Pelodiscus sinensis: one gene and its partner. The protein of the gene in region 1 interacts with the protein of each later gene in a biochemical or structural test. Links are inferred from orthologs where the notes say so. Each region holds a gene or a part of one and is shown on either strand. Other genes may lie near its edges.

Evidence for each region.
Region 2: the proteins of YOD1 (region 1) and USP21 form a complex in vitro, tested with the Homo sapiens proteins (2 studies listed by BioGRID, with this or other methods). The link is inferred for Pelodiscus sinensis from reciprocal best matches to the Homo sapiens genes YOD1 and USP21.

The regions. Positions count from the first base shown.
Region 1 is NC_134737.1:5,460,080-5,476,224, forward strand, and holds YOD1 (ubiquitin thioesterase OTU1), read left to right. Parts: upstream 1-9,370; 5' UTR 9,371-9,533; coding exon 9,534-9,741; intron 9,742-11,385; coding exon 11,386-12,092; 3' UTR 12,093-15,349; downstream 15,350-16,145. Other genes in the region: PFKFB2 (6-phosphofructo-2-kinase/fructose-2,6-bisphosphatase 2), read right to left, coding at 571-627, 1,184-1,258, 1,379-1,445, 3,392-3,488, 5,133-5,258, 7,949-8,039. UniProt on the Homo sapiens protein: Hydrolase that can remove conjugated ubiquitin from proteins and participates in endoplasmic reticulum-associated degradation (ERAD) for misfolded lumenal proteins.
Region 2 is NC_134734.1:13,509,639-13,526,335, forward strand, and holds the start of USP21 (ubiquitin carboxyl-terminal hydrolase 21), read left to right. Parts: upstream 1-8,616; 5' UTR 8,617-8,631; coding exon 8,632-8,765; intron 8,766-9,092; coding exon 9,093-9,894; intron 9,895-11,847; coding exon 11,848-11,907; intron 11,908-13,474; coding exon 13,475-13,598; intron 13,599-14,244; coding exon 14,245-14,356; intron 14,357-15,163; coding exon 15,164-15,301; intron 15,302-15,833; coding exon 15,834-15,898; intron 15,899-16,697. UniProt on the Homo sapiens protein: Deubiquitinates histone H2A, a specific tag for epigenetic transcriptional repression, thereby acting as a coactivator.

The DNA of each region.
Region 1 (16,145 bases):
ATTTAATTTAATTTATCTGAACTGCAAGGCTCTCTAATAAGAATCAATTTCCATCATTACTCAGAGCCATTATCATGGCCAATGATGACAGGGCTCACCTAACACTTTGATCCAGCCTGCAGACTGCATACGGCCGCTTCCTATTTATACCCTGCTGTCTGTGCCACCAAATTTCCAGGTGGTGGCTCAGGCAGCAGAATCCGATTTAAATGGCTCATGGCTCCTGATCATGGCAGGGGCTAGAGCTGCAAGCCCTTTAAATAGCAGCAGCAACCTCAGGCTGCTGCCAGGCAATTTGTTAGTGGTGGGACCAGGAGAAGCAAGCTCTTTCCTGAATTTTTAATTCAAAGCCTCTGGCCACAGACAACTCTGGGGGAAGCCTAGACCCCAGCCCCGCCCCTTCCGCATTAAACCCTGCCTCTTCCAGGGTGGAGCCGGTCTGTGACCACGTACCAAAATTCATTAAGTGCCTCCCCTGCAAAAATGACTCCCCACCCCTGTTCTATGGCAACCATCAAGTGTTCTAGAGAAGGATGCTACAGCCTGTGCCTATGAACAAGCAGCACTCACCAGGATATTGGCAGCAATGACTTCTGGATCATCACAGACAGACTCCACGAAAAACACCTAGAGAGGAGGCAATGAAGCTTGCTTAGTAGGATTAAGAGCCTCTAGCGTAATGTAAATAGTCCGGTTAATTTCCAGTATAGCCACAAATGAAGGCAGCAGAGTTACCCAAAGGATAGATTTAGCCAGATATGTTTTGTGAGAAACTAACCTTGCTCCTTACTTTAAACTTAGTGAATGTATCTATCTGTCCATCTAGAAATGTATGCTACACTCATCACCAAGCACCATCGAGATAAGGGCCCATCAGAGCAGAATATCCCAACAGCCAATTGACTAAAATAGAGTACTTCCCAAACCAGTCATATGCACAGAAGGAGGCTGATTCTCCTCTACCTTGCACCTTAAATAGTCACTGACCCCAGAGCAGAGGGGATGAAAAACCAGCACCAAAACACCATTTCACACCATCTTGGCTGAGGTGATAACACAAGGCATTCAACTGCAGCTGCACCATGCAAAGCTAAAAGCCCAAATCTGCCATCCGATGCACTGATGCTAATGGCGTGGGATGCACCCATGCCTACAGCTCTTATTCCAAATCAAAGTCAGTCACCTTATAAGCATTCTCTTTAGCAAATTTTAGGATCAAGTCCCTCCTCTCCCGAGTGGTGTTGGTCGCATCGAACACCTAAGAGGAAAAAAGAATCCCAACAATATTAGCTACGTGTTTCAAAGCTGCCAGAGGGGCTTGGATGAAAATGTAATACTCTTTTGATTTAAACTCTGTGTCAGTCGAGTGTTATCTTACAGCTATCTGCCCACACTCCTCCGTGACATAAGCTTTCACATCTTCCAGGGCCACCAAGGCACACTGTCTGCAAAGAGAGAAATCGGCAGAATTTCAGGCCACGTAAAGCGTACAACTTCCAAGACTCATGAATCACGGCTCCGAAGCTCACAGTTGGAAACACTTAAAATATGACATTTCTCTCTCCTGAAGGACATTCTCTGCATGCTTCATGGAGCCTTGGGGGTTTTGCCAACTGTTTAAATCCCGTTTTTCACTCAGGGTCTCTGTTCTGAGCACTCTACTCTTCCAGCCCAGGAGTCTGCTGCCATCTTTCCTTAAAGGAACAAACCGGTCACTGTGGAGTCTAACCCATTGAGGACATGCACTGCCCACCAGGGAAGACAGATTCGGGAGCAGAGGCTGAATCTAGGTCTCCCAACTGGTCACTAAATGGGACAATAAAGACTTTTTAATTCATCTGTTTTTTGCTTCTTTTTTTTTTTGGGTAGTACTCAGACACCCCCCCCCCCCTTCCTTATCACCTGAGTTTTGGTCTTTGGGCCCCATTCTGCTTTCCTAAAAGTAAATGATGAAACTCCTACTGACTTCAATGGGAGCAGGTTCAGACCCATTATTAGATTTATTGTTTTCGCATCATTTGGTATCTCTCCCCAAGATGTCTCCTGTCGTTCAACGGCCACCACTGCATGCATGAGGTGAAATCCTGTCCTCCGCCCCATAAGAGTCCATGGGACTTTTGTTACGCATTTCAATGGAACAAGGATTTCACCCTTGTCATTCATCTATATGGATCAACTTTCCTTAAAATAATAAATCTATGCACCAGCCAAAGGGGTGAGAGAGAATGGTCACTTGTAAACATGCCCGGGCAGGGACCAAAGTGCACTGTCTTGGAGGGAAAGTTCTATCTCTGCCCACTTAGAGAAAATCTGAAGTTTGTTACCCGCTCATAAGCAAGAGGTCTGCTGCCCACCCTGAAGTCACAGCTTCTAGAGCAGGTATTTTAATGGCATGCACTGAATACTCAAAACTGAGCCCCCTCACTTGACCTCCCTGCCCAGATGTGTGACTTTTATGAAACAAGTCTGCTGGTCAACTTGAATTCATACTATAGTGTTGATGCACTGCTGTGTGCAAATAACTGTAAGAAAAATCTCTCGTTATTCCTGTGGAGAAATGCAAAGTCAAAGCAGAACCCTGGAACGGCATGACTTTTGGACTGACATAGAGATAACCTGAGTTCAGACCTACATTCCAGAGTGATGCAGACAGAGAATGGAGATGGAAAAATGAGGATGTAATAAAAACCATGTTGTCGTTTTTTTAAGAGCACTAGTTGACACAACATTAAATTCTGTCACATGTTCCCAAAGCAGTTTTTAAAACTTGTAAAATAATCTGGAATTTCCTCAGGTTGAACCAATTATTAATCCACTCCACAAAATTTTCACTGAAGGCCCAACTCAGCTATCTTTATTCACACAGGATACAACTACACAGTAGCGCATACCTTGAAATAATTTACTCAATTTGAGCTACACAAATTATGTAGCTTATTTCGAAATAGCTTATTTCAAAATTTGGTGCTGTCTACACAGCGCTAATTTCTAAATAAATCACTATTTCGGCATCTTCCTTATTCCTTGTGCAATGACGTTTACAGGAAGCCGGAATAAGAAGCCTGTTATTTTGAATGAATTTTGAAATAACGAGTGCTGTTAAGAACGGGAGTGTTATCATGAAATAGTGTCGCTGTGTAGATGTACCCACAGTGCAATATCTTACTTTGTGAGTAGTCTCCATTGAAATTAGTGGAGCTATTGATGTAGTCAGGTCCTTCTCAATCTAAGCAATGATAGCAGAATTTACCTCCATATTTGTCTAGACACATTAAATGTTATGTCCCACAGTCACAGGTATAGTCTGAAACCAGTTGCAAAGGCCTTAGAATAAGATGAACTTTTTTTTCTACTATTTCATGTTGAGTTGCACCCAGTGACACAGACTTACTTCCGAATCTTCATGGCTTCTTTGTTATCATGCCTGAAAAAATCATAGGACTTGTACGACTGCACAGCTTCTCGACGATATACTCCTAAATTAAACACTTCACAAAGACAAATGAAGATGTGTGATTTGCAGCATCTCACAAATACCTGGTACCTTGTCATGAGCCAAGAAGAGAATGACATCCTTATCTTGACTAATACACCAATTCATAAACTATCCCTCCCACTAAAATCTTCCAGCAATTTTACTTCAAAATAACTTTTGCAATCACCACAAGAATTCCCTATGATTGAAATCTGAAAAACTTAATCTTCACCACAGAATCTCTTCTTTCCCTTGCGTACTTTTCTTCAGACCTCCTTAAGTTAATTCACATTTTTTATAACTATCCTCCTGGGTATCAGTATAGTCATGGGCAATCCCTATCCCCATTAAGCAGCGTGACATTCAGGCTTTGAAAAGAGAAGAGATCCAAGATAAGCAGAAGAGATGTGATAAGATCTCGTGCACTTTGCAAAACAAAAGTTTAGTGCTCATGAAAGATACCCAGTTGTCAGCCCTGGAAACCAAAGGTCTCTGCCTTAGTGAAATTCACCCTCATGCAAAGGGCCAGCACAAGAGTCTAGGATAGTGTTATTCAATCTTGGGTCGCGGGGCCACCAGGTTAAGCCACCAGTGGGCCTGGGCCACCTTGTTTACTTAATATGTCCACAGCTACCAAGCCTCGCAGCTCCCCTTGGCTGGAAATGGTAAACGGCAGCCAATGGGAGCGTCAAAGCTCCATGGCTATGGACACATTAAGTATACAAAGTGGCACCGGTCGGCCAGTGGCTTACCCTGGCGGCCTCACAACCCAAGCTGAAAATAATTCACTATGAAGCACTTAAGACCTACTTTGAGGGCGCACAGATTTTGTGCTGGCCCTCTGCACAGGGATTATAAGTTTATTCATGTGCAATCCCTCTCTAAGCACCGAATGGATAGATCTTGAGGAGTACTAGTGCAAGCCTCCCCAACATACTGACCCTTGCCAATCTGCTTGGAGAAACCACCTTGAAGGGGTCAAGTGGAATTCAGTTGCTAAGGATAACTAAATCTTCGGGCTCTCTGTTGGCACTGCCGTTAAGACTTTATGATGCAGACTCTTGTTCACAGGGGACAACACTGCAGTTAGCACCCCAAATAGTAGCTATCAAGTCATGTTACGTTTCAGTGCTTATACCCCTGGGCTGCACTAGGGATGTAAAAAGTGGGTTATAAAATAGGTAATAGCGTAACCGCTGAAAATGTCAGCGGTTGTACATGCTGCCAGCTCTGCTCCCAGGAAGGAGGCTTCCCTGCCACAGAGAAGCCACTTCCCTGGGAGCAGAGCCAGCAAGAGCTGTCAGCCTTGCCCCTGAGGAGACTTTGCTGCAGGCTCTGCAGCCAGCTCTCTAGGAGCCAGCATATAAGCAGGGGTGGGGGTGCCAGGCCAGGACGGGCTCACCACAGACAGAGGGTGCTCCGGCCAGCTGGAGCAGACCCTGCCTGCCGTGAGCCTCAGGGGGTGGAGAAACCCCCTCCCTGGGGTGGCCTCTGCGGTTAACCAGAACCAGTAAGCATTACCCATTGTGGGTGATGCTTACTAGTTAGCAGGTTAACCGGTTAGCCTTTCACATCCCTATGCTGGATTAAAACAAATGTTGCAGATCTGGGACCCATCGATCACTTTGCACTACCATGAACAAAAATTCACACAGACCTTTTGTAGGCACGCCAATCCAGTTGAGGTAGCGGGTTAATTTCTTGGACATATAAGTCTTACCCCGGGCAGGAAGGCCAATCATTACAATCAAAGTAGGGGAGTTGGTCATATAAGAAGCCCATGCTGCAAAGACGAGGAGGCAAAAATCATTACATTAATTAAAACAGCTCAACGCAAACACGAAGTCAGACACCAAATTAATCTCTGGCTAACTCACTGTGTCTGCCCATTACAGTGAGTTTTATTAGCCATACAAAAGATTACTTGCTGTGTGTTTCATACAGTGGATTCATTATCATGCCCTTCTTTCCAATTAAATGTTATAGCAACCACTGTACCACAGCTTTGCTCTCTCAGGTATTAGCTAATGAAGTAGGTTAACAACTGATCAGCCACCGTGAACAGGGAAAATAACGTGTGACTAATATGTCAGCCAAAATACGTCAGTCAGAGTTGAAAGTATGTACCAATTAAGCAATAGCTATCAAGGACAGAGGAAAAATTCTTTATTGATAATAGACGGGAAGCTAATTTCTTTCCATATCATAATGAACAAATGATCTGAGAAACAAAGTTGATAATGTTTAATCTGTTGCTAAGAAGCAGGATTTTTGACCAGTACTGATTTTGCATAAAATTTCTAGTATCTATTTAAAAATTCTGATAATTCTCCAAAAGCAACAGATGAATTAATTAATGAATCCACTGAGTAAAACTTTCAGTTTTATAGAACTCTACGAAAGAGACTGATTATAGACAGGGATATGGGAGCATGTGCTGCCATAATTAAACTGGTCAAAGCAAATGAATATAAACTAAATAGAAGACAAAATGGAAAGAATAGGACTTTCCTGTATCTAAATGGCCTGATGAGACGGTTTTGCCACACAAGACACAATTCAAATCTAACTGCAATGCTGATGGGATTTTGTCTGTTGTAAATCTTGTCAGTTTCAAAGATTCTGTTAAAGGTATATATATATATCTGTGCACTACTTTTGCCCCCAAGCTTCAATGCCAATTTTTTTTATAGTTTTATAGCCATATTTGTCTATTATTAATACTCTAAATTCTCTCACTTGTTTGTGTGGATTTTCGTGCATAGTAACAAAGAAACTGACTCTGGGGAAGCCATCTGTATTCCTTGCTGTCATAAGTGCAAAGTAAACAAATGGAAAAAAAAATGTTTTTCCCCATGGTCTTTTCCAGTCATAGTCATTTTAAGGATTACTTAAAACAGGTAAAACATTGTCAGACACAAACATAACCTTTGCATGGACGATGTTCCTTGAAATAGCTTTATAAAGGAACTGGAGGAAGAGACAAACAAGATGTTAAATGTAAATTCCCAAAGTGACTTAGGCTACATCTAGACTACAGGCTTCTTTTAGAAGAAGCTTTTTTTGGAAGAGATCTTCCGAAAAAACTTCTTCACAAAGAGAGCGGCCACACTGCAAAAGTGCATTGAAAAAGCCATCTGCTTTTTCGAAAGAGAGCATCCACACTGAATGGAAGCTGTCTTGCATGTAAGCTGTGATTGCTATGGATGGAATGGCCACCAAGGCACCTGTGCTTTTCCCTTTTTCCTCTTCTTTCGAAAGAACTTGCTCTTCACTGTCCACACATGCCTTTTTGTGAAAGAGCTCTTTCGGAAAAAGGCTTTTTCCTTGTAGAATGAGGATTACCAATGCCAGAAAACCCCCTGGTTCTTTAGATTTTCTTGCAGAAGAACACAATTGCAGTGTGGACAGTCCTCAAGTTGTGTTAGAAAAACGGCCATTTTTCTAACACAACTTTGTAGTGTAGACGTATCTTTAGATTGGGAAGTTCTGAAAAATCAGTAAAGACACTGAATTATGGGTTAGAGACATAAGCAGGAAATAACAAAATGAATGTAATATGGATAAGGGCAACTAGCACGTATTGGGAAAAAGTAATCCTTAATAAAGATATTCAATAAGAGTAAAGAGAGATACTTGGAAAGCAGTAAAAATCGAAGCAGACCGCTGGTGATTATGCAGCTCTAAATCATATCAGTGTGCGTGTGCGCGTCCTTTCCTACTGAACTTTGTGATTCTTTGCTTAAACCTGGCCTTTCACAACCGAAGACTAAGCCTAGGTTATAAGAGTTCAATGGAGGTTGTTAGATGGAATCAGCTCAACTTGTCACAGATGTAACATGCCCAGATCACTACCTGATGAAGCACATTAGATGGAAATAGGCAAGGTGAGCCACCTTAAATCCCTATTGAGTACAGTTGTGCTAGTTCTTGCCTAATACACGTGGGTAGCTTTCAGGAACAGACGTTACATTTAAACTCAGATCCACATTGAACAGATTTCCTTCTAAAAAGAGCTGAATTAAAAAACGTTATTAACTTGAAGGGTCAACATTTGTCCAGAAGAGCAAAATGTTCAACAAATATAACTGGATAAAAGTGATACAAACAAGAATTGTACACAGTTATAAACTTGTCTAGTACTATTTTTGGAGCCTACATTAAATACATTAAATTTCTGGGGATCTCAGGTCCAAGTACATATCATAAAAACACATCACAGTTCTTCCCCTTGCTGGCAGACTCAGCAAAAAAGGCCTAGAAATGAATGGGGGACAGAAAATGAACAGCCCTTCAGATCAGAGCTGAAGCATTTTTGGGAAGAGGCATAAGGAAAGCCACTTCGCCTTTACTATGCCCCGGGGTAGAAGGAATAAAGCGTGACTGATTGACTACTTCTTTTTATAAACAGGTAAAAGAGAAATTAATTGCAAGACACAGGATCTATTTCCCTAGACTGTCACAAATACTCACAACACTTTTTTTCTGAGACTCGGAGATTTGAAGTTTTGTTTTCCTGGTTGTTGTTGTTTTGCTCTGGGACTGATGCTGTATATTGTGACATTGCTGCTAATCAACACACTTAGTCAGTAATGGACCTTCAGGCTCTTGGAAAAGAAAAGAAGAACCAAACATAAATCCTTATGAAATCCGGTAGACAGAGCGGAATAAGATGCATAGCAACTTATCTGTGCTGTTCCTGGTGGCAAGGAAAGGAAGCCATGCAAGTCTCAAAGCTGTAGTCCAAGGTCACCCTCAGGTGGTAACATATGTAGTTGGCACAAGAGAACACAAACCATAGCAAAACGAAGCACAGGAGGAAAACAATGCCGCCTTCACCTAGAACATTAATGAATCATCTCAGCCAAGGAATAAGGGGAATGTACCTGTATTTACCCTTGAGTGCGAATCACCACAAATGTAAAGAAACAGCCTTTCCCCAGACTCCCGAAGCGGTTCCGCAGCTGCGGGGGCACTTTTTGGAGATGGCCAAGCAGCCCCCCCAGCTGACCAGCAGGGATTATGGCTCAGATGGTTTGACAGCATCCTCTGAGCCAGGGGGCGGGTCCCAGCACTCACAAGCCCCGCTCCAGGATTTCAGCCATTCCTCAGGCACGGACCTGCAGAGCCCCCCAGACAGACCCGCTGGCAGCGCAGGGAAACTGAGGCACCAAACCCCGAGCCTTCAGCGCGAGCCGTACCAGGAAGGGGCGGGAAGCCAGCCTGCTGCTGCCCCTGTCAAGCTCTGCGAGCCTCGGGCACCGGCCGGGAGCCTCCCCCAAGGGCAAGGGCATGGACGCACCGAGGCTGGCGGGCCCCGCACTGCAGCAAGGCTCCCCCGCGCCGCCCTGGGAAGGTTCGTCCCGCACCTGCTGGCCGACAGGGAAGAGGGCGGGGCAAGGAACGAGATGCAAATGATATGCTAATAGAGCGCTCGCGTGACTAAGACGCCGCTTCGCTGGGAAAAGGGGGGGGGGGGTGGAGACCCGCGGAACCAGGCAGGAGGGGCCATGCTATGCAAATGAACACGCGCAATTCAAAGAAGCCTGGACACGTCAGCGCGCCCATAGGCCAGGTATGTAAATGAGATGCAAATGTGCCCATGGATAAATAAACTGTAGAAAAGCTCACTCCATTTTTTTTTCCGAACGAGCGAAAGAACAGGAATTTCTAGTATGCAAATAATGTGCAAATATGCAAATGAGTTTATAACAGAACTCCGCCCCCACCCGCTCCTATTCCACCTTGACCGCGGGAAGGCAAAATGACGTCTCTTCTCCCCCCTCCCACCCCGACTGTGAGACTCCCCTCGTGCGCGTGTGACGCCACCACGGGCGTCTCCACCCCAAGCCGCGGATTGGCCGCGCCGCCGGCGCGCGAGGGAAACATGCCCCCTCCGCCGGGGAGGAGGGGCCGGTCCCGGCGCGCGCAGCCAATAGCCGGCCGCGGCGCCCGTTGTCGCGAGACTTGTCGGGGCAGCCCTGGCAGCGGCCGCCGGCCCGGCCGGCCATTTTGCCCGGGCAGCAGCACAGGCCGGGCAGGCCCGGGCCGGCGGAGGATGCTGCGGCTGCGCTGCAAGGCCCGGAGCGGCTCCCACCCGCTGCCCGGCCTCACGGCGCATTCCCGCCTGCGGGAGCTGCAGGCCGCCCTGGCCGCCCTGACCGGGGTCCCCGCCCCGGCCCAGCGCCTCCTGCTCGGCTTCCCCCCGCGCAGCCTCGACCTGAGCGACGCGGAGCGGCGGCTGGGGGAGCTCGGCATCCACTCAGGTGAGGCGCGCGGGGAGCCCCCCCTTCCTGGGGGGCGGGGCGGTCCTGGCTGCCTCACGCTGGGGCGGGGGGTCAGTGGCAGCGTCTCTGCCCCTGGAGGCGGAACCCAGCGGTGGAGTGAGGGGGGGGGTCACACTGGCTCCGGCCCCCCCCCTCGTCCCCAGGCCGCGCTCTTCGCTCCAGCGAGGCTGTGGGGTGCCCCGCCGGGCACAGCTGGCCCGAGGGGTAGGAATCTGGGCTCCAGGTCCAGAGAGCGAGCAGAACCTTCCCTGTCTGCTTCACGCTTCGTCATTCTCCAACGGACGTGGTAGAGACTTCAGGGGCGAGCCGACTTAGTCAGTACAGGGAAAAAAACAAGCACTGTTTATAGACACACACAGGTAGATGGTATCGTGGGCACAGCCCACTTCTTCAGACTGTTGGGGGTAAGAGTACCAATAGAGAGGTAGCCCCGTTAAGTCTGATTTTGCAAAAACAAAAGGAAATACTGTGTAGCACTTTAGAGACTAACAAGATGGTGTAATAGGTGATGAGCTTTTGTGGGCCAGACCTGCTTCTTCAGATCATATTCTGGAAGAAAATTGGCATGACCAGGGCTTGACAAACAGCGGAAAAATCTATTTGCCAGACCCACATTGCGCATGCCCGTGTCACCGGTGAACGGGGTGACCGGCTGAAGTGGACTTGCCATGGGCAAGTAGATTCACTGATTTGTCAAGCCCTGGGCATATCCATATATACCAGAGGAATACAATGAAAAAAGTGAACACATTATTAAACGGTGTTAATAACGTGTTCACTTTTTTCATTGTATTCGTCTGGTATATATGGTCATGCCAATTTTCTTCCAGAATATGATCTGAGAGGGCAAGTGTAAGTTGAAGTTGTCCCTAGAAGTGATGCTCAGGGCTCACTGAAATGGATGGCTTAGCAAGCATGTCCTTTCTCTAGCTTATTTCATTCTCTCCCCAGATACTGTAGCCTTGTGAGCATGAGTCAACTGTAAAAGAACAGATTGCAAAAGATCTAGCTCTTGCTGGAGTAAAAGGCAGCAGGAGCTTAAAAACACAATATTCTATTATTATTTCATACATGCGCACACAAACAATATTATTCTACATCTTACTGCTCAAGACAGGATGAGCAACAGAATACCAGACTTAATTGAGCCTGCCTTTCAAGCAGATTATAATTAGCTTAACTGAAACTCATTTGGGATGCTTCACTTACCACCCTTTTTATTAAAGGATTGCAAAATAGTGTTGTCAGTGACTTAAACTTATCTAGCAGCTTGTAAATATAAACATCTCTAAATATCACTCCTCTTGTGGCCCAGATTTAGACAAACTTGAAAATATTACTTGTTTTGCCAATTTAGAGATTTCAGCACAAAGCTTGTGTCTCTCTACCAGCCATATACAGTGAGGTCCCAAAGCTACTGTTATTTTCTACATCTTGCTGTGGCTTATGTAATTTATCAAATGGGTAATGCTTTCTATTGTGCTTATCTAATCTTATCAGAGAACCGAGGCATGGTACACTGGGACAAAGATTTGCTTCACTGTGCAGTTTTTCCTTTGTTTGCAATGCATTATGGTGATTCAATGCTGGATTTTATCTCATGTCTCTTTTTATTTTTGACAGGTGATACTCTAATAGTTGAAGAGGACACAACCAAACCCAAGACTGAGTCACCTGTAGTTGCAAAAAGGAGTGTCCCTAATTTTGTCAGGGGGGCAGTGCCTGTACTTGGAAGGAGGGTTGTTCCAGCAGATAACTCTTGTCTCTTCACAAGCATATTCTATGTGGTAGAGGGGGGCATTTATGATCCAGCATGTGCTCCAGAGATGCGCAGTCTTATAGCTCAGATAGTGGCAAGTGATCCGGAGTCCTATTGTGAGGCAGTACTAGGGAAAACCAATCAAGAGTACTGTGAATGGATCAGAAGAGAAGATACATGGGGAGGAGCCATTGAAGTGTCCATTTTGTCTAAGTTTTATCAGTGTGAAATCTGTGTAGTGGATACACAGACAGTCCGAATTGATCGTTTTGGGGAAGATGCTGGCTATGCTAAGCGGGTCCTTCTGATTTATGATGGGATTCATTATGATCCCCTTGAACGTAAAATCCCGGACTCAGACGTCCCTCCCCTGACCATTTTCTCAACAAATGATGATATTGTTCTTGCACAAGCATTGGAATTAGCAGATGAAGCCAGACGAAAAAGGCAGTTTACTGATGTAAACCGCTTTACGCTGAGATGCATGGTGTGCCAGAAGGGATTAACTGGACAAGTGGAAGCCAGAGAACACGCAAAGGAGACTGGGCACACGAATTTTGGAGAAGTGTGACATCTGCTTGAGGATGGTTACATCACTACCTCACTGATCCAGAATAAGATTCTGGGTTTTCAGATAAGCTGTATGTAAGCATAAAAAGCTCCCTTCACAAAGCTTGAAAAGCCCTATTAACTTAATTATTGAGACACACAGGTTTGTTATGGTTAGTGTGCAGGTTTACAGATAGGTATACGGTAGTGATGCTCTCTTCCCAACTAGTTTGAAATAGGTAACTTATTGCATGCTGGATTGCATGCAGATTTTAAAGTAAGTGGCAGCTGTTTTTGTTGTATGTCAACAGCTAAAAGTCCTGATTCCTGAAGAACCTTATTTTCTGATGGAGAAGCTGCTGAGACACATGGCTGGACATACACTTAATACTGTACCTAGAGTTACATAAAGACTTGCAGAATAACACTGAAATCTAAACTCTGAATTATGGGATTGAGTTAGAATCTTTCAGGACTTCTAAAATGGTGTTAGTTTGGCATTTAGAGTAAGAATTACATAACTTTTATGCAATTAAGCAATGTTTTCAGTAGACACCTACAGTGAACACTTCCTATAGAATTGGTAACAAAGCTGCTCTATATTGTGTCATAACGAAAGAAAGAATACGCAGTCTGATAGTAAATTGAGAGAAAGCCTTCTTAAAATGGAGTAGACAGTTAAATGGCCAATAGACTTAATATTTCCCCATAAGCACTATTTGAAATGTAGTTTAGTTGCTTGAAAGTTAACTGTTAATCCCTCAGTTTACACTACATCAGGATGTAGTTTCTTGAAATACTTTGACCCATACTAATATCTGTTACAGCAAGAAGGAATTACAGTAGTTCAGATTACAACTAGATTGTATTGATTAAACATTAAATCTAGTTTTGCTTAAATGTGGCTGATCTTGTGGGCATGGGAAGTGTTAAGCTGTACCAGGCTCCAAGTATTATGTTGGCACTTTTTAATCTATGGTTCTCATTCTTTTATAGGTCAAAGACTTGTTCTTTTCAGAAAATCAGAGCATTTATCCAAAAGGGAAAAACTTGAAGTTTCTTTGTATTGTGCCAGATATCATTTAACTTGCTCGATTTCTCCCCAGTGATTAAATAGCAAGTTCTCTATTTTAATAAAGAATAGAGCAGTTTTTCACAACAAAATAAGCTAGGTAAAATGCTCTCGAAGTGAAACAGGGATGTTGAAACCTGTTATACTAAAGAAGTATCGCTTTATGGGGGATTGATTGTGAGCTTAATATCAAGTGCTTTGAGATCATCTGAAAGATGTTGTGGCTGTACACAAACAACTTTCTTTTAGAGTAAATGCCTTAAGACACACATGTTGAGGCATTTAAATTTTTAGCCTTGTTTTGTTACTTTGCTTACAGTTTGAGACCCCTTCTGGACAGTTGAGCAAGGGGGGAACAAAGATGCATCCCCAGCCCTGATCAAGAAAAGCCTCCTGCTTAAGTAATTTCCTGAATTGGGGCCCTCATGAATCTCTAACTACGGGCATAATTCTATGGTTCTCCGTGGAACTAGAAATGTGATTTTAGTTATATGTGCATAGATATTTTGCTGTCTTAAGACCTAAAGAAAGCAGTACATAAATAATATCCACAAGAATATAATGGACCAGAATTATTTTATTCAGTATTAAGTGACACTGCTCATGTTTATTATAGAAATCAAGTGAGCTGTCATTGTTAAGCCCACTTAGCTTTTACACTTGTTTTTAATGCTAGACTAGAAGCAGATACTTAAAGCTATTGTAATGGGAGTGTATTTCATATGCCTTTAAATACTGTATTCTAAATAGTTGAGATGAAGCTGATTTGTGACTAGACCAAGGGACTATCAGATTCTATATTCTCAATTTTGTCAGTGAATGGTGATATACACTAGACAAATTACTACACCTCACAGAGGTATTGAGACTGTTTGATAGTTTGTAAAGTGCTTTGATGAAAGGTGCTACATAAATATAAAGTACTATTATTCTGTGCCATGTTTGCAAACTTATTTGGGGAACATAACTTCTGTACTACGAAATCCTTTAGTTTTGTGCTCTGAAATCTGCACAATAAGATTTGATGTCTCTGCAAACATTGTAATAGTCCAAACTGTCTGCCATGAATCCCTAAAATAGATACCATGGTCAAATCACAACTGAACTGCTGTAATACTTGAGATACTTTTAGTGTAACAATTAGCTTTGTTAAAATTCAACATTTTAATATTTCAAAGAGCAGATTTAAGTTGGAGATGGAACGGGTCAGTCATCTTCCCCAAAGCAGAAAGTCTAAATTCTCTGGGGAGATGAATTTAAAATAAATTGGAAAAATAACTTCTGGGTCCCTCCCCTGTGAGACCTTGTAAACTTGCTAATAGCAATCAGATAAAATGAAGCTAGCACATCTGTTAGCCCTTTTTACTGAACAGACATGAAAATGTCATGAGTGATTTCCTTAGCTCAGGGAATCAACCTGTGACTTTTTCAATGCCTCTTAATTGACTTGCACTGAAGCATTACTACTTTAGCTCCAAAATACTAAGTGTGGACATTTCCTAAAATTAATTGTTCAAGACAGAGTGGAACTGAAGTTCAGGTAATTGGCATTTGGCAATAAAGATTGCGTCCATAATGATCCAAATTATGAGCCGATGTGGATTGATGTCCTTAACATGCCCCCAAAATGTCATTAATACTAATTTCCATGGCGAATGTTTTAGCAGAGGTCAGGGATTTGAATGGGCCCTGCAGCCTGAACTTCCTAGCCCAAGAGGGGGATTCCTTGCTTTAAAAGTTGAGCACACTAGTATCATTTTGAAGCTGACTAGTGCAGGATTCGTTATCTGATTAAATATAGGACTTCATCTTCCAGGCTGCCAGTTTGGCACTTTTCACCAGCACTCAATTCTTTTTCCCAAGGAAGGGAGGAAAGAAGCTTACGTACTTTAATCATGTGGCCTTTTACAAAATTTTATATTGCATGAAGAAATACACATCTCATGGTGAACAGCACTTTAAAAGCTTGTCAAAGTTTACATGTTTAGCAATGTTTTGCAGGGACCTAGCTTGATGTAAGTGTGGTGTTGCGGTAAAATAACTGAACAATTTCTAAATCTTGATCCTCAAAACTTACCCATGTATTCTAGTGACAACACATCCTGTTATTTTGTTTTCAGCACAGGTTATTTAAGTACATTTCTTTAAACATGTGCCCTATTACAAAACTCATTATTGCACCAATAAAAAGGTGATTCATGCATGCACATTTATGGTGTAGTATTCATTTGTGGCTTGCATCATGGGGTTTAATTATAGTGGTGGAGATACCTGAATAAGTCAATAGAGCATGAAACAGTTTTCACAAGCTACTATAAACATGCAGTTGCTTAGTTCCAAAGACAAAGGGACAGGAACAAGTCATGCTGAAGTGGCACTATGTAAAAAAGTGTACATTCATGAAGTAAAAATTTAACTTAACCAAACTGTTCCATAGAATCTCTGGATAGTAATTCCATGCTCTAGTAATGAGTGCAGCAGTAGGCATATATTAATGATCACCTGACCAGGATGGTGATAGTCTCTCATCTCACTTATATTTCAGTCACTATCAAAATAAATGGGAGATTTCAGCTATCCCCATATTGACTCTGTACACATCACCTTGGGCTAGGATCCAGAGAGAAATTTGACACCTTAAATGACTGTTTTTTGGAGCAGCTGTTTCTGGAAACCCACAACAGGAGAGACAATTCTTGTTTGTCCTAAGTGGAGCACCAGATCTGGCTGAAGAGGTGACTGTAGCTGGATCACTTGGAAATAGTGAACATAATGTAATAAAATTAAACATCCCTGTGGTGGGAAAAACAGAGCAGCCCAACACTATAGCATTTATTTTCAGAAAGGAGAACTATATAAAAATGAGGTTAAGCAGAAATTTAAAAGGTACACTGCTGAAAGTGAGTTTACAGTAAACTCTATGGAAATTTTTCAAAGACCCCCCAGAATAGAGACTTACCAAAAGTGCCACTATGGCTTAACAGTCAAGTGAAAGATTAAAGG
Region 2 (16,697 bases), on another chromosome or scaffold:
TTCTTGAAAAAGGGCTGTAAATTAGACACTTTGAAATTGCAAATGAAGCCGGGATTTAAATTTCCCGTGTTTCATTTGCATAATGGTGGCCGCAGTTTTTTTTCGAAACGGGGCTTTTCGAAAGAAAAATGGCTATTTAGACGGGGATCAATCGAAAATAAAACCCTTTTGCGAAAGATCCTGTACTGAAAAAATGAGTACAGGGATCGTTCACAAAAGGGTTTTATTTTTGATTGATCCCTGTCTAAACAGCCATTTTTCTTTCAAAAGCACTGCTTTGAAAAAAACGCGGCTGTCATTATGCAAATGAAGCACGGGAAATTTAAATCTCGGCTTCATTTGCAATTTCAAAGTGTCTAATTTACAGCCCTTTTTCAAGAAAAGGGATGTAGTTTAGACACAGCCTCATAGAGAATTCTAACAGCTTGCCTGATTCCTCCCACTGAGGGCTGGTCCCACATAATTTACAGATGTCTGCGTAGCACTGAGTATGGGCATAAGTTATAGCAGGAGACAGCAGCTTTATCCTGTTCTGTGTCCATGCTGGGGTTGCGCCAGGATAGCTGTACTGGTTGCACTCTATTGCCTGGAGGATGTGGGTTTTCTCACATCAGACTAGGGATGTAAAATCCTGTTTAGTTGTTTAACCAGTTAAAGAGGGGGGTAAACAAGGGTCAGGGCCAGCATGACACAAACGGGCTGCTCCAGCCAGGCTGGAGTGCCCTTGACCCACGGTGGGCCCTGCAGGAGTGGAGCAGCCGCCTGCCTGTGACGGCCAGGGAACTGCTCCAGCTCCCATCGGCAGCGGCAGATTTAGGGCAGGGCGAGCGGGGCAGCTGCCCCGGGCCCCGCGCTTCCCGAGGCCCCGCGCATGCGCCATGGCGCCACGGCGCATGCTCCGTGTCAAAGGAGGGGCCCCGCAAAATTTCACTGCCAAGGTCCCCGCGGTGCTGCCCTGGGCCCCGCGGCACTCTCATCTGCCCCTGCCCATCGGTTAACCAAAACTGGTAAGAATCACCTGTTAAGGTTAACCAGTTTTAACCATTCACATACCTACATCAGATCAATGATTTTAAAGCCAAAAAGAAAGCACGTGTATTGTCAATGCTTATATGCTTTTCTATAGTCTGATTAAACCCCTTATACTCATGAACGGAGAAAGCGCTTGTAATACGACTACGTTGTTACAGTTACAAGTCATGCAAATGGGATAGCTGTTAATTATTGGTTCAGAGTAAATCAGTGTATGCAGGTGCTCATCCCATCCTTAAGGGGGAGGGAATTGGGAAAATGTCCAGGTTTTCAGGACAGTAGTTATTTTACTTTTAAAGCCATAAAAGAAACATTCACCCCACCCTGTACTCCAGTGGTTCTTAACCAGGGATACGCAGAGGTCTTCCAGGGAGTACATCAGCTCATCTAGATATTTGCCTAGTTTTACAACTGGCAACATAAAAACCATGAGTGAAATCAGTAGAAACTATAATTGCATGCAATGACTTGTTTGTACCGCTCTATACTACACATTGGCTGTGTCTACACTGGCAAGTTATTCTGGAAAATCAGCCGCTTTTCCGGAAAAACTTGCCAGCTGTCTACACTGGCCGCTTGAATTTCCGGAAAAGCACTGACAATCTAATGTAAAATCATCAGTGCTTTTCCGGAAATACTATGCTGCTCCCGTTCGGGCAAAAGTCTTTTTCCGGAAACCTATTCCAGAAAAGGGCCAGTGTAGACAGCACAGTAGTGTTTTCCACAAAAAAGCCCCGATCGCGAAAATGACAATAGGGGCTTTTTTGCGGAAAAGCGTGTCTAGATTGGCCACGGATGCTTTTCCGGAAAAAGTGCTTCTCCGGAAAAGCGTCCCGCCAATCTAGACGCGCTTTTCCGGAAATACTTTTAACGGAAAACCTTTTCCGTTAAAAGCATTTCTGGAAAATCATGCCAGTGTAGACGTAACCATTGAAATGTAGGTACAATATTTATATTCCAATTGATTTGATTATATGGTAAAAAAAAAAGAGAAAGTTCACAAATGTTCAGTGGCAGTGACACTTTTATATTGTTAAGTCTGATTTTGTAAGTAAATAGTTTTTAAGTGAGGTGAAACTTGAGGGTACGCAAGACCAATCAGATTGCTGAATCAGGTACAGTAGTCTGGAAAAGTTGAGTAATTGCTGTACCCCGTGCGTCTCCCTTCCCTAAATAGCTAGACAGGTATTGAAAGTAACTGAGATTCTTAGTTTAAGGCCAGAAGGGACCATTGTGATAATCTCTGACCTCCTGCAGAATGCAGGCCAGAGAACTTCCCTGAACATGGATCCTATTATACAGATAAGCCACTTGAAGCATAAATACATTTAAACCAGCTAGTGTTTTATTGCGTAGCTTTGTTACTCACCCAAACACATTGAAAATACACAAACAGGTTCTCAGTTGCTGCAAGCTAACATGGGAAAGAGAAGAGCAGATTATCAGTTTATTTAATGAAGCCAAATTCCTAAGAAAAGTTCCTTGAAGAAGGTATTTTCAGCTTTGTCAGGAATCATCATGCAGCAGTTTTCCACTGTAACATACAGGCCTGGTTTTATGGATTCATAGATTACAAGGCCAGAAGAGACCACTGTGATCATCCAGTCTGTTCTGGATAACACAGGCCTGAACAGGGGCGGCCCATGAGCCTAGGCAGACTCAGCGGTTGCCTAGGGCGTCGCCGGCCTGGGCGCCTGATAATGACATCAAGGCCATTGATGGCCGTGCAGGTGGGGGCGCCAATCACGCCTTCCACCTGGGGCGCTAGTTGCCACAGCCAGCCTCAGGGCACTCCTGGGCCTGAGGACTAGGGATGTTAAATATTGGTTAATTTAATAATCAAGTTGCCTCATGAATTTTTATCTGTTAGTCAACTATTTTATAGTTCCCAGGAGCGGGGCTGGCAGCCATTGTATCAGAGGCAGCAGTGCAGGGTGCCAGGCAGGAGCTGGTCTATGAGGGGAGCCAGTTTAAAAACCAGCTTCCCTTCTGGACCTGCTGCCTGTCGCCCAGTGCTGCTGCCTCTGATAAAGAGGCAGCAGAATGGGGTAGCAGCAGCCCCTGTCTAAGTGGGGGGAGGTTCTAAGCTCCTGGACCCGATGTGAGCCAGAATTGAGCCAGGCAGCCTGCCCACCTGGCTCCTAATACACTTTAAATGCAGAGCTATAGCTGGGGTAGGTTCTGGACCCAGCAGGAGCCAGAACTGAGCCAGGCTGCTGGCCAGCCTGCTAAAAATTTATTGGCAAGAGTGGGGGAGGGAAATGCGTGTAGTCTATAGCATTAACGTATAAGCTTGTGCTTATTGATTAATCGGTTAATCGACTACACTGTTACATCCCTACCAGGGACTTCCCCAAAGAGTTTTAAATAACAGTCCAATCTGGGTTTTAAAATGGCCAGTGACGGTGAATCCATCCCCAACTCTTGCTATGTTGTTTCAGTGCATCGTTCTGTACCAGCTGGAGTATTCTCAGGGCCAAAGCCTTCGCGCCCATGTCTATTGCATGGCTGCCATCCAACTGAGAGGTGACATGGGCATTAATAATGTAGGTTAGGTCATTATCTGCCAGGGTGAGTCGGAGTCTCCTCCCAAGCAGAGATGGCGGAGGGTGTCACTTGGGCAGTTGCTATGTGAGCACTCAGCATCAGCCAAACATCTAAGAGTAATCCTAGATAACAGGCTGAATTGGCCAAGTGCGGATGGGACCTTTCAATGAAAGAAGGCGTAACTCTGCAAAGTACCGTCCTCTGCCACCAGCACCAACCCTGCCCTGCTCCAATGCACTTCGCCCGGGGCTAGCGTAGTGTTTCCACGCCATATCCTGGGACCCCTGCAGCAGGGTGGGGAGCGGCGCATGCCCGTGTGCTCGCAGGTTCACCAAAGGACGTGTCCTTAACCGGCAGCTTGGCCACGCTTGGGTCTTGCCCCTTTTACTTGCACTTCTAGCGCCGCGTCTCTGCACCCTGTAGCATAGATGTGGTGTGTCCCGTCCCCCAGCACAGGGGTCCCCAGCGGACATGGTATGTCCCGTACCCCCCAGCACAGGAGCCCCCAGGGTATGTGCTATGTCCCAAACCCCCCACCACAGGGAGTCCATGGCTATATGGTATGTTCCATACCCCTCAGCACAGGGGGTCCATGGGTATATGGTATGTCCCATACCCCTCAGCACAGGGGGGACCATGGGTATGTGGTATGTCCCATACCCCTCAGCACAGGGGGGACCATGGGTATGTGGTATGTCCCATACCCCTCAGCACAGGGGGTCCATGGGTATATGGTATGTTCCATACCCCTCAGCACAGGGGGTCCATGGGTATGTGGTATGTTCCATACCCCTCAGAACAGGGGGTTCATGGGTATATGGTATGTCCCATACCCCTCAGCACAGGGGGGACCATGGGTATGTGGTATGTCCCATACCCCTCAGCACAGGGGGTCCATGGGTATATGGTATGTTCCATACCCCTCAGCACAGGGGGTCCATGGGTATATGGTATGTCCCATACCCCTCAGCACAGGGGGTCCATGGGTATATGGTATGTCCCATACCCCTCAGCACAGGGGGTCCATGGGTATATGGTATGTCCCATACCCCTCAGCACAGGGGGTCCATGGGTATGTGGTATGTTCCATACCCCTCAGCACAGGGGGTCCATGGGTATGTGGTATGTCCCATACCCCTCAGCACAGGGGGTCCATGGGTATATGGTATGTCCCATACACCTCAATACAGGGGGTCCATGGGTATATGGTATGTCCCATACACCTCAATACAGGGGGTCCATGGGTATATGGTATGTCCCATACCCCTCAGCACAGGGGGGACCATGGGTATATGGTATGTCCCATACCCCTCAGCACAGGGGGTCCATGGGTATATGGTATGTCCCATACCCCTCAGCACAGGGGGTCCATGGGTATGTGGTATGTCCCATACCCCTCAGCACAGGGGGTCCATGGGTATATGGTATGTCCCATACACCTCAATACAGGGGGTCCATGGGTATATGGTATGTCCCATACCCCTCAGCACAGGGGGTCCATGGGTATATGGTATGTCCCATACACCTCAATACAGGGGGTCCATGGGTATATGGTATGTCCCATACCCCTCAGCACAGGGGGCCCATCGGTACGTGGTATGTTCCGTACCCCCCAGCACAGGTATTCCCAGGGGACATGGTATGTCCCGTACCCCAGCACAGGGCCCCCTCGCATGTCTCAGGCCGGGGAGGGCCTTGTGACGATCATCGGGTCACAAGCACTGCCGCAGCCGAAGCCTTGGCGACTCTGCAATAACTTTCAACGAGGGCGCTACTGTCGCTTTAAGAGGCAAGGAGGACGCCGCTCTGTCTCCATGGCGACGGGGCTGTGTCACTGAGAGCTGGACGCGGACGCACGGGCGGCCTGGCCCTAGACGCTGACACCCGGGGATGGCGGCGCATGCGCAACGAGCCGACTGAAGCCGCTCGCCGCCCGGGCAGCGGGGACAGAAACAAACATGGCGGCGTCTGGTGCGGGAGTTGTTGCTATGGCGTCCTGCAGGAGGTAGGGCCAAACCCACCCCCAGGGCCTCGGAGGGGGTGGGCACCCTCCATGGTATGTGGGGTCGGGGGTTCCTCGGGCTGTAGGGATGGGTTTGGGGGGGGGGTTGCCCTATGGAGGGCTGCAGCTCGGGGTGCAGTGGGGGTCACTCTCTAGGCGGTGGGGGCTGCAGATAGGGGAGCAGTGGGGGTCACTCTAGGCGGTGGGGGGAGCAGTGGGGGCATGAGGGGGGGCATGGGGGGGTTATAGGGGTTTGGGGCCTGCCTATGGTGATAATGTGTATATGGGGGGCAGTATATAGGGAATTTCTCTAGCGGGCTTGCGGCCTCTATATAGGAATTGCAGTGCGTATATGGGGGCGATATATGGGGTGGCTGCTCTCTACACAGGGAGCTGTAGATGATAGATGCTGGTACGTAGGGTTAGGGCATGGTGTATCGGGGCTGGGCTATAGGGGTTCTCTAGGGAGCTGGAGGTCACCAAAGTAGGTGTGGTGTGGGGGGTGGAGGGAAGCAGGGGCGGCCCTAGACTAGCCGCCAGCAGCTGGTGCCCTAGGCAAACCATGCAATCGGCGCCCCCACCTCCAAACCCCTCAATGATATTGCGCCACCATTTGGCGCCTCATTTAACTTGGTGCCCTAGTTCGCCTATATGGACGGGCCACCCGTGGAGGGAAGACTGGGCTTGGCACTAAGACACTACCCTGCCAGTATGTGGAAAACAGTGAGCAGTCCTGGGGAACCTTAGACAGTAACAACTATATTATATCATGAGCTTTTGTGGGTAAAACCTACTCCATCAGATGAGTTGTATCTGGGTGGTTCTCTCTTCAGGCAAGGGCAAGTGGGTCAGCAGCAAGGGGTGTATGTAGGATGGGGGGGGGCGGAAGGGAAGGGAGAGGAGTATGGCTGGTGGGGATATTTTGAAAATAAATTCACTTTGAGTGATGTGTACATGGGGGGGGGGGGCAATATATAGCCCTGAACGAGGCCTAGGAGATGAAAAGTCTTTGCTGTCTGGTGCTACCCAGGGAGATGTGGCCTGAAGAGACTACTGGTCCCAGTGTGCCTTGTAGCATGGTGGCTTGAATTGAGAGGGAACAGTGCATGCTGGGATCTGTAGTCTCTGTGGGCTGCCCCTCAGCATAGGAGATGGAAGGCAAATGCAGCCTTCCCCATTTTGTAGTTTTTGGGTAGTCCTTGGGCCCCTGATAACTAGGCCAGTGCCATGTTCAGATGGGCAGAATCTGGGCACTGCTCCAACCCACTTGCAAGGGAAGTGCCTTGTGAATTGAGATTGACCTGCCATCTGCTGTCTAGGCCTGGTCTGGAATATTCCATCCTTTGTTTTGAGGACATTTAGCAGTAGCAGGCCTGTGCTACTTTCCTAAAGCGGGTAGCAAACTGATCATGCTCTGTTCACTGGGTACTGTGGGAATTTGCTATTGTGACACTTTTGAGTTAAAAGGGAATCTCCATCTGCTTTTAGCAGGATAGGGCTTATGACACACAGCTGAGTCAGTCTGATTCTATCCAGAAGATGGCAGCATCATGTGTACACACTAGCCAGTTAATGACAGTGTACGGGATTGTGCCATTGGACCTTAATTAAGGCTTCCAGAGCTCTTTGATTCTGTATATAAAGTGTTGGCTGGCTTCATTGTGTGGGGTCAGTGCCTTCTTCAGTGTTCTCTGCTGAATGCCGGGTCTGGGCCAGTGCTCCTCCTCTAGGAGGTGTTGAGAAGAGAATCAGTAAGTTTCTTTCCCACATATAAGCACTTTCTGAGCTCTGCATTAGCAAAGCCCAGCCCATGCCAAAGGCGGCTGGTGGGAGTAACTGGCAACCCACCTCCTGACTAGCAGTTCAGTGATTCACCCTAATTATCTCTGTAGTTCAGGAACAAACAAGAGCCTCACCCAGATCCCTCACCTCAGCTGAGTGAGATGGTGCAGTTTGGAGCAGCCTGTGGGGGTTTGACAATGGAGAGACCTCTGCAGGGAGAGAAGTCTGGTCAAAAGGGCCTACTCAGCCTTGGCCTTTCAGACTGTCACAAGGCACCCACTGAGCCCCCTGGCAGTGTAGGCTCTGCTCAGTAACTGCAGTAGGATCAATGGCTCCTTCTGCATAGACGACCAAGCTGCTGTTAGAGGGCCAGGCCTCGGAGGGTATGTCAACAGTGCAATTAGATGTGCATGGCAGGTCTGTGCCAGCTCATACAAGCTCACCGGGCTTGGGCAACGGAGCTCCGTAACTGTGGTGTTGACATTTGGGCTTGGGCTGCAGTCTCAGCTCTGGCAGGGTTCTACAGGCAGGGCTCCAGCCTGAGCCTGAACTAGGTATGTTAAAATGTGTTTAATTATGTAATCAGGTAGCCACTGAAAATGTCCGTGGTTACATGGAGCAGGGGGAGGGGAAGGTGTGTGTGCGCATGTGCGCGCACCCTGTGTGTAACCGTGCATGTTAATCGATATGCCCAAGCTCATTGGTTAACCATGTAAACAGTTACACTTCCACATTGCAGTTCAGCAGCACCTTAGCCTGAGTCGGTTGGCACAGGCTAGCCGAGGGGGGAGGGGGTTCAACTGCAGTGTTAACATATCCTTTGTTACACCTGCCTGGAGCTTGGGATCCTTGGCTGGAAGGCACCAGAGCCCGTTAACTCTCTGCCTTAAAAACTTGCTGAAAGGGGAGTGAAAGGCTGTCTCGGGTGACTGTCCTCGAAGCAGAGCAGAAAGGAGGGTAGATGGCATGATGCTGCCTCCAGGTAGTCCCGGCCACTTCTTTCTCTGCTGTGTGAGGTGGTGGTGTATTGCAGGATAGGGAGAGCCTCTGCCTGGCTTTCCCTCTTCACCCTCCTGAGGATACCCTGCCATTCCTGCCCAGCTGTGCACTATCCTACTCTGGTGGGTGGAGTCATATGGGGCCTGTCTCACTGGAGACCCTTCCTCCCTTTCCCTGGGCACACGGACTGGTTTGAGCCACTCTGGGCCCAGCCACCTCTCAAGATTTTGCAGAGATTCTGGTGGCCAGATGTCCTGGATGAAACTACCATGGGAGCCTGTGCCTGCATCATCCTATCTTGTGTTCTAGGGCCCCAGCCAATGGGAATCTCCACCTGGACAGCCACCGCCGAGGGGTGTGAGCTTGGTGCTGGTGGGGAAGAGACGCTCGCAGCTTGTGAGAGGTACGTCCAGTTGTGCTGCCTCTGAGCACCGGTCCATGCAGCCCAGCATCCATGCTTCAGCTGTGACCAGCACCTGCTGCTGCAGAGGATGGTTGCTGCTTCCTATAATGCAGTTAGTCAACTTTGAGTTAGAGAGAATTCACTCGCGTGACACAGAGTTGGTGCCGCTGTCCTGGAGCCTGGTCTCCCATTCCCTTGCTGAACCCACAAGACTGCACTGCCCTCCTCAAGCTGGGCCTGGCAGTCTGGGGTCTTGCCTCTGATAGCCGTGCTCTGTTAGCATGCCTTTGGCTTTGACTCACTGCGTTGACTCCTCTGTCTCCCCAGAGTTCTCCTTGCCATTGTCTCTACAATGCCCCAGGCCTCTGAACACCGGGTCAGCCGGACTAGAGAGCAGATCATCACATCACAGCCCAAGGCCACCACCAAGCTCCTGAATGGACACCGGGCCGTGAGCCAGGAGCGCCACGCCTCCGCCTCCCCTGCCCTGGCCAATGGGCTTTCCATGGCTCCCAAGATTCGCCCACTGCCTCCCCGGCCCATCCCTCTGGACGATCGGGGGAAGAAGCAGGAGCTCGAGAGGGGCCGCGCTTCGAAGCGCAGTGACATGCTGCGTGGCTCGGTGCCCAGGCGAGGGCCAGTGAAGGCCGACCATGCGGTTAAGGTGCCTAGCTCCCCACAGGCTAGCACCATGTCAGGCAGTGCCTCCTTCTCCTTGTTACTGGTGGGACGGGACACTGAGCGTAGGCTGAGCAACCTTGCCCGCTCCAAGTCCATCAGCATTGGGGACCTGAGCCAGGCAGGGGGACGAGGGGAGGAGGCGAGCGCGGTGCTCAGCCGCCTGACGCTCCAGGACCGCAGCCCATCCTGCAGCCAGAAGCTGGGCCTGGGGCACTTGGCTCTGAAGCGGAGCACTTCGCTCAGGAGGGTCAACGTGTCTCCTGCGCTGGATGGGAGGCCTGCGACCACGTTGCTCTCTGTCCGCACTGAGGGCTGCTCCAGGACTCACACCTCCAATCCTCAGGCCCCCGAGTATGTGCGCCCCCTGGATGTGCCAGTGGCTGGGAGCCCACCCAAGGGCAAGGTCCCGTCTCCAGCTCCGAGCAGGCCTGAGGAGAAGGCTTCTGTTGTAAGAGTGGTTTGACATCTACTGAGCATGATGGGTAGCAGTCCTCCCTGTATGGGGGTGGATGGGCCCTGTTACTGCTGACACCACCTGGCTCTGCAGGGTACAGTGCCTGGCCTGATGTTTGGGGGCTGCAGTCTCAGGCTTCCTCAAGAGGGGGAGGCTTTCTCCCACCTTGCCCCCGCCCTGACTTGCCAGTGGGAGTCTAGGCTTAGTGCTCTCTGGTTTGCCCCAAGCTGTCCCCAGCCTCCTCATTCCCATGAGAACCCAGCACCTGTGGGTGAGATCCTGGGAGCAGGCAAGTAGAAAGCCATGCCATGAGGCAGAATGGCCAGGTTCACTGGGGTAGTGGGAGGGTGACGTGCCTCAGCGAGATTTGCAGCTGGGGCTTGGAGGTGGAGTGATTTTTGTTTTGTTTTTTGTTTTATTTTGTTTTGAGTCCCTTGTCTGGCTACAATCACCCTGCTTCCCCCAGCAGCCTCCTGCCCGCTACCATACACATGCAAACCTGCGGGGAGTGGGTGGCATCAAAATGTCCTAATTGGGCCTGCGGGATGTCTGGGGGGAGGGTCTTTGGGCCCACTGAGTGGGGGCACAACATGCAAGTCAGCAAGCAGCCCCCAAGCCCCTGACTTGTCCTGCAGCAGCAACTTTGGCTGCTCCAGGAACGGCTTCCATTGCTCCTTAGCTGGGAGTTCCACTGATCCGCTGGGGGGGGGGGCGCAGCGCAGAGAGCCAGCTTGTGGAGTCAGTCTCTGGTGGGATTGCATGTGAAGTTAACAGATGCTGAGACTCGTGGATTGCTCACTCGGGTGGGGGAGGGACAGTGAGTGAGAGGCAAAACCACAGACCGTCCCCTACAACAGGCCTGGTATCAAGGCTTTGCCCCAGGTAATGAAAATGGCCCAAACTGTCCAAATGCCTAAATTTTGATCTCCAAACTTTGAGATCCCCCCATGTCCTGACCCAGAACTTTCCCTCAGTCCCTGCCTGCAGCTCCTCAACTTTCCTAGCAAAAGAACCTCCCAGGTGTGTTCACCCAGCACCAGCTGATAGTGTAACTGCTAATCGGTTCCCTCTAGGAAATCTTACCTAATCTGTGTGAGCACAGGTGTGGGGCTGAGCGCTAGGCATGGCCTGCTGCCCCACGCAGGGCTAGCGAGAGCTTGGCGTGCACCCACCTAGCAATCCAGTGAACTATGGCAGCCCTGAGGCAGGTTGGCCTGGGGCAGCTGGTTTCTTCCCCACCCCAGCCCTCTCGCAGTACCTGCGGCAGGGTCGATGACTGTTGGGTTGTATTTTCTTTCTCTGGTCTACGGTTCTTCAAGCACCTGCTGTCTCCGGAGTAGTTCTCCTTGCTAATTAATCCCACAGAGATGAGCCTCAAGCAGGGCCCGGAATAGCCGGGGGAATCGGATCAGCTAATGAGCTGATGGTTTATAGAGGCAGAGGGAGGGCCCAGTGGTCCCTTCAGTTGGTGCAGGGCAAGCACAGCGCTCCGGCTGCCCGCTCCTCCGTGTGGCAGGAGCCATGCCAGGCCTGCAGGGAGCCACCCTGGTGGAGCTGCCGCGAAAGCTGCACCGCACGTTGGCCACCAAACGGGAGCTGCAGGGCAAGGGGGCGGATATCTCGGAGTCGGTCGTGCACACGGCGGTGATGGGGCTGCTGCTGATGACCAGCGAGGTAACGTGCCATGTTCTTCCTGCTGCTGGCCACAAGCAGCAGGACACCCCCAGTCTCTGGGGGCCACGAGATGGCCGTGCTGCAGGGGGTTGGCTCGGTGTGTATGGAGGGAATGGGCTAGGCTGGCCATGTGCGTGGCCGTCCTCCTGGGGAGACACGAGGCAGAGATCGACCTATTTACAGTATCACGGCACGGACCTGCTCCTGCTTGAATTGGCTACTTCTCAATCCCTTTCCCAGGCACTCATCCCACCTCTCTCTCTCGTCTCTCAGACACACAACACCCTCCTCCTGGGCTCTGGGCACATCGGACTCCGCAATCTTGGCAACACGGTAAGCCCCTGGCTTTCAGTGCTGGGGAGCCATGGACAGTAGGACCCCCCCCGCACGCAGGGGAGGAGGGTTGGGGGAGGGGGCGGGATGTCGACTGTGCAAGGCTTTCAAACCTGCATTTGCTAGTCACAAATAGCACTTGCTGCCTGGGAAAGGGACGTGCAGACCTGCTGGAGTTGGGAAGACTCTAGGTGGCTCGTCTTCCCTACAGCCCAGTAGGGAGGTGGGGCTGCTCCCAGCGCTGCACCCCCCTCTGCTGTGCCCAGTTTGGGTCCCATGCTCCCCGTGCAGCCCTCGTGGCACTGGTCACACCAGGGCAGAGTGTGGCACTGTGGTGTTTCATATCCATTTTGCACTTGCCAGGGTACGGAGACCTGGGCTGCCTGGTTTCTGTGTCATAGATGTGCCATGTGGGGGAGACCGTGCCCTGCCAGGGCGCTCTGAGATCCCTGAGTGCTGCTGTTTCTCATATGAGTCTGTCACCCTGGTCCCTGTAACCTCCCCAGTTGCCTCTTCCTCTGTGTTCCCGGGCCTGGCCCTTACCTGAAGCAGTGAGCTCCTTTGAAGCGCTGCTAACCGGGCGCCTTGCTCCCCCTGCTGCCACCTCTGACCAGCGCCTGCCTGCCTGCTTGTGGGACTGGGGCACAGCAGCTTCCCCCTGCCGTGCAGACATGCTGGGTGCGAGGATGCAGGGCTGTGCCTGTCGCTGTCAGCAGCGTGCTAGGCCGGTCTGTTGAGGCCAAGCCAAGGGCTGTGCCTATGTTGCATGGAGAAGCCAGCAGTTGTGCTGGGGGTGGAACTGGCTTACCTTTCCCACCCAGCTGTAGCTCCCCTTGCGCCCTACTCTGCTCCCTGCAGTCCCAGCAGTGGAAGGCTTGGGCTGCTCTGGGGGCTTTCTGGGTGTCTGCCCAAACCCTGCTGTGTCTAGCACACTGAATGTCACTTCTGCCCTCTGCTGTATGGAATCAGGACAACTGTTGTGTGTCAGAGGCCCTGTACTGCTGATGGTGATTCTCCTGTAGCCCAGGTGGCAGGGGTTTGACTGAGTCGAGTGCTGCCTGTGTTGTCGGAGGGGCTCCGAGAGGCCCTGGTGCAGTGAGTGGCAGTAGCTTTAGTCTAGCTAGGGGGGTGGTTGATCAGCTGTATTTGGCCAAAGACTCTATCTTCCTGGTGCGGGGGGTTAATGACTGGAGATCCTACCCCCCCATCATCAGCATCAGTCTGCTTCACTGTGGTGGCCCCCTTCTTTGGGACCCCTCGGTGTCCCTCCTACATCTGCTGCCAGCCTGGTCTCTGCACAGTGGTGAGGGACAGGTGGCTTCAGGAGCACCCTCTTTCGGCTGTCAGGGTGGCCGGATTTGGCTGGGACTACTTGGAGCAGATCTGGGCAGGGTGAACTGACAGACTTTGGCACGTGTCTGCACTCTGGGCTCCCTGCTCTCCACGGCTCATGTCCAGTAGGAACGACTGCCCCTCCTGGGCTGGCTGTGCTCAGCAGTGCAGGGGCTGGGGGAGCCGGCGCCCAGAACATGGGGCCTGCCCTCACTGCCTGCCTGTGTCCCTGCAGTGCTTCATGAATGCCGTGCTCCAGTGCCTGAGCAGCACCAAACCCCTGCGTGACTACTGCCTGCTCAAGGAGTTCCTCCAGGAACAGCCTGGCACCTCGCGGGCCCCGCAGGAGCTCACGGAAGGTAGGTGAGGCAGCCGGGCACCTCGTGGCTGCTCCCCAAAGCTGGCTTGCTGCAGCGGGAGCTAATCCCTGCCTCAGTCACCAGGTTATGTAAGTGCCCTGCCGAAGTGAGGCCAGCTGGAAAGCCCGTTACATAAGCAGCAGGGCTGAATTCCCTGCCATGGCGCTGTTGACACTGTGCCCAGCAGGGGAGATGGAGGATGGGCCCATGGCCAGGCTCTGCAGTGCCGGGTGTGCTCCTGTCGCTCTGGGCACCGCAGGGCAAGGCTGGGGAGCTGGCACTAAGCAGGGAGCAGAGGTGTTAGTGGCAGAGTCAGGAATAGGATCCAGGCTGTGCTCCACCCACTGTCCCGTGCTCCCTTTGACCCCCATCAAGCTGTTCTTCCACCCCTCCCTGTCCCCGGGTCTGCTGCATGGGGGAAGCAATATTTTGTAGGTCTGGGGTTGTTTTCGTTTCCCTCCCCCCCCCCCCCCCCCCCCCCGCCCCAGGACTGCTCCAGCAGGGTCTAGTTGGAGATCAGCCTCTCCCCCAAAAGCAGGAAATCCCGCTCCCCCACCTCATGGCTGCCATGCCAGGTGGGGTGAGCAAGCTGGCTGTGGGGCAGGGCAGGCAGGGTAACATGGGCTGGTGGCTTGTTTCCCCTCAGCCTTTGCAGATGTCATCAATTCTCTGTGGCACCCAGATTCCACCGAGGCTGTGAACCCCGCACGCTTCAAAGCCGTCTTTCAGAAATACGTCCCGTCCTTCACAGGCTACAGGTGAGAGGTTCTGTCCTGTGGACCCTGGATCCCTTCTCCCACGGCCATGGAGCGGGGGGGCTGTCCCAGAGCACCAGGGGAATGTAGCTGCCTTTGGGCCAGATGGTAGCAGCCAGCATAATGAGCACCTGGAGGAACCAGTTCAGCCAGGGCATAGGATCCCTGTGATCTCAGGCCTGTGCAGAGTAGCCTGGACCTCCTCAGAGTCCTGCCTGACAGCCCCTTCCCACAGCAGCCTGCCAGAGCTCCGCTTCTCCGCCCTGGCAGGATGATGGGCTGAGTCAGGCAGGGGGGACAGCAGCAGTGCTGGGAAAGCTCCTCTGCTGATGAATCCTGAGTGTGGAGGGCTGGGGGGTCAGGGGAGGGGACCCTGCATGTGATTAGTGCTGGGAGCAAGGGTGGGGCTGAGGACCCTGGATGTGGAGAGTCCTGGGGGATAGAGCTGGGGAGGGGACTCAGTATGTAGAGGCTGCTGGAGAGCTGGGGAAGGGGACCCAACATGTGGAGGGCCCTGGATGGTTGCAAGAAGAGGGGAGCCAGTGTGTGGAGGAAGCTGGGGGGCAGGGCTGGAGAAGAGGAGCCGGTGTGTGGAGGAAGCTGGGGGGCAGGGCTGGAGAAGGGGAGCCGGTGTGCGGAGGAAGCTGGGGGGCAGGGCTGGAGAAGGGGAGCCGGTGTGCGGAGGAAGCTGGGGGGCAGGGCTGGAGAGAAGGGGAGCCGGTGTGCGGAAGAAGCTGGGGGCAGACCCAGGGTGGAAGCTCTGGAAGGACGGGGTGGGGCAGGGCTCTGACAGGCCGTTCCTGTCTCTAGCCAGCAGGACGCCCAGGAATTCCTGAAGTTTTTAATGGACCGGCTGCACGTGGAGATCAACAGGAAGGGGCGCAAAACTCCCAGCATCCTCTCTGATACCAAATGGCCCTCAGTGCTAGAGGACGCGGACCCCCTGAGGTGAGCAGGCCAAGCTGGTCGGGGCTGCGGCGCCTGAGCACGCAGAGAAACGTGGTTCCCGTTGTGAGCTGGTCCTTGCACCGAAGGCCTGAAAGCTGCAGGACGGCCCCCGGCAGGGACTCTGTTGCTGCATGGCCGGGGCTGGGGAGTTGATGGGGGCAGGGACCAGGCCAGTGTCCTGGCTGGGGCTGAGAAGCTGGTGACCTTGGCTCCGTCCCGGGGACAGGAGCAGCACTGAGCAGGTTGGCAGGCAGCTCCCTGTGGTTCGGGGTTCCCAGCAGCGCATTGTTGCCTGGGGGACAGGGAGCTGCTGCCAGGGGCAAGCCAGCAGGTGGGGAGGAGACTGACCCACCGAGAGTGCTGAGCCTGCTCTTGGTCCAGGGGCTGCCTTCCTAGGAGCTTGGGGAGTCTCAGCCCAACAGCAGGACAGGAGCCCCGTGCACAGCCCCACCTCCTGCTGCCTCTGGCTGGTGTGTGGAGGGAGCTGCCCTTGGGGAATCTCCCTCAGCAACCCCCCCTGGGTTTTCCCTAGTGATGACGAGCGAGCCAATCTGATGTGGAAGCGCTACCTGGAGAGAGAAGACAGCAAAATAGTAGGTGAGCATCTCTCTGGCCCCGGGGCGGGGGGCTCTGATGGACGGGGGGCCCAAAGGGCCATGAGCCCGGCTACTTCCCACTGAGGTCCACTCTGACCCCCGCAGTGGGGTCAAAACCTGGAGCCCCGCTGGGGGAGCCCATGCAGCTATAGGGAGCCACAGACCCTCCACCTTCCAGGAGGGGGGACCCGTGAGCAGCCCTCAACCCACGTGTCCCCCACCTCTGGGACCGCTGCTCAGGGTAGATGGAGGGCCCATGGCTCTCCACAGCTGCCTGGGCAGCGCTTAAGGCCCCAAGGCCCCGGCTCGGGCCAGGCTGGAAACCAGAGCCAGGTCAGGGCAAGAGCCATGCAAGCAGTTGTGGGGAGCTGTGGACGGTTGCCCTGGCCTGGGAGGAGGCCCTGGAGGTCCAGAGCTTGCTCTTTGCCCTCCCACCCCAGGCAAGTGAAGGGGCCTGGGCTTGCCTGTCTCCAGCTTCTGTCTTGGCCAGAGGTGGAGCCCCCCCACTTCTAGGAAGACTCTGTTGCCTCTGCCTTCCTGCCCCCTACCCAGTCCCTCTGGACTCATGGCTGGGGGCTGCGCCAGGGAGAGCCGGGACTGGGACAGGCAGACTCTGCCCGGGCTGTCTCCCTCTAGCCCCTTGTGGAGCTCAAAGTCCCCTCCCCTCGCACATGTGCTGGGGCTCTGAGTCTGGGCCCCTGGAGAGGGTGGTACTGGGGCTTAGAGCCGCTTTGGTGCGAGGGGAGGAGCCGCACATCCGCTTGGCTCCTGTCAGTCCCGGGCCAAGCTGGCAGGGGGCA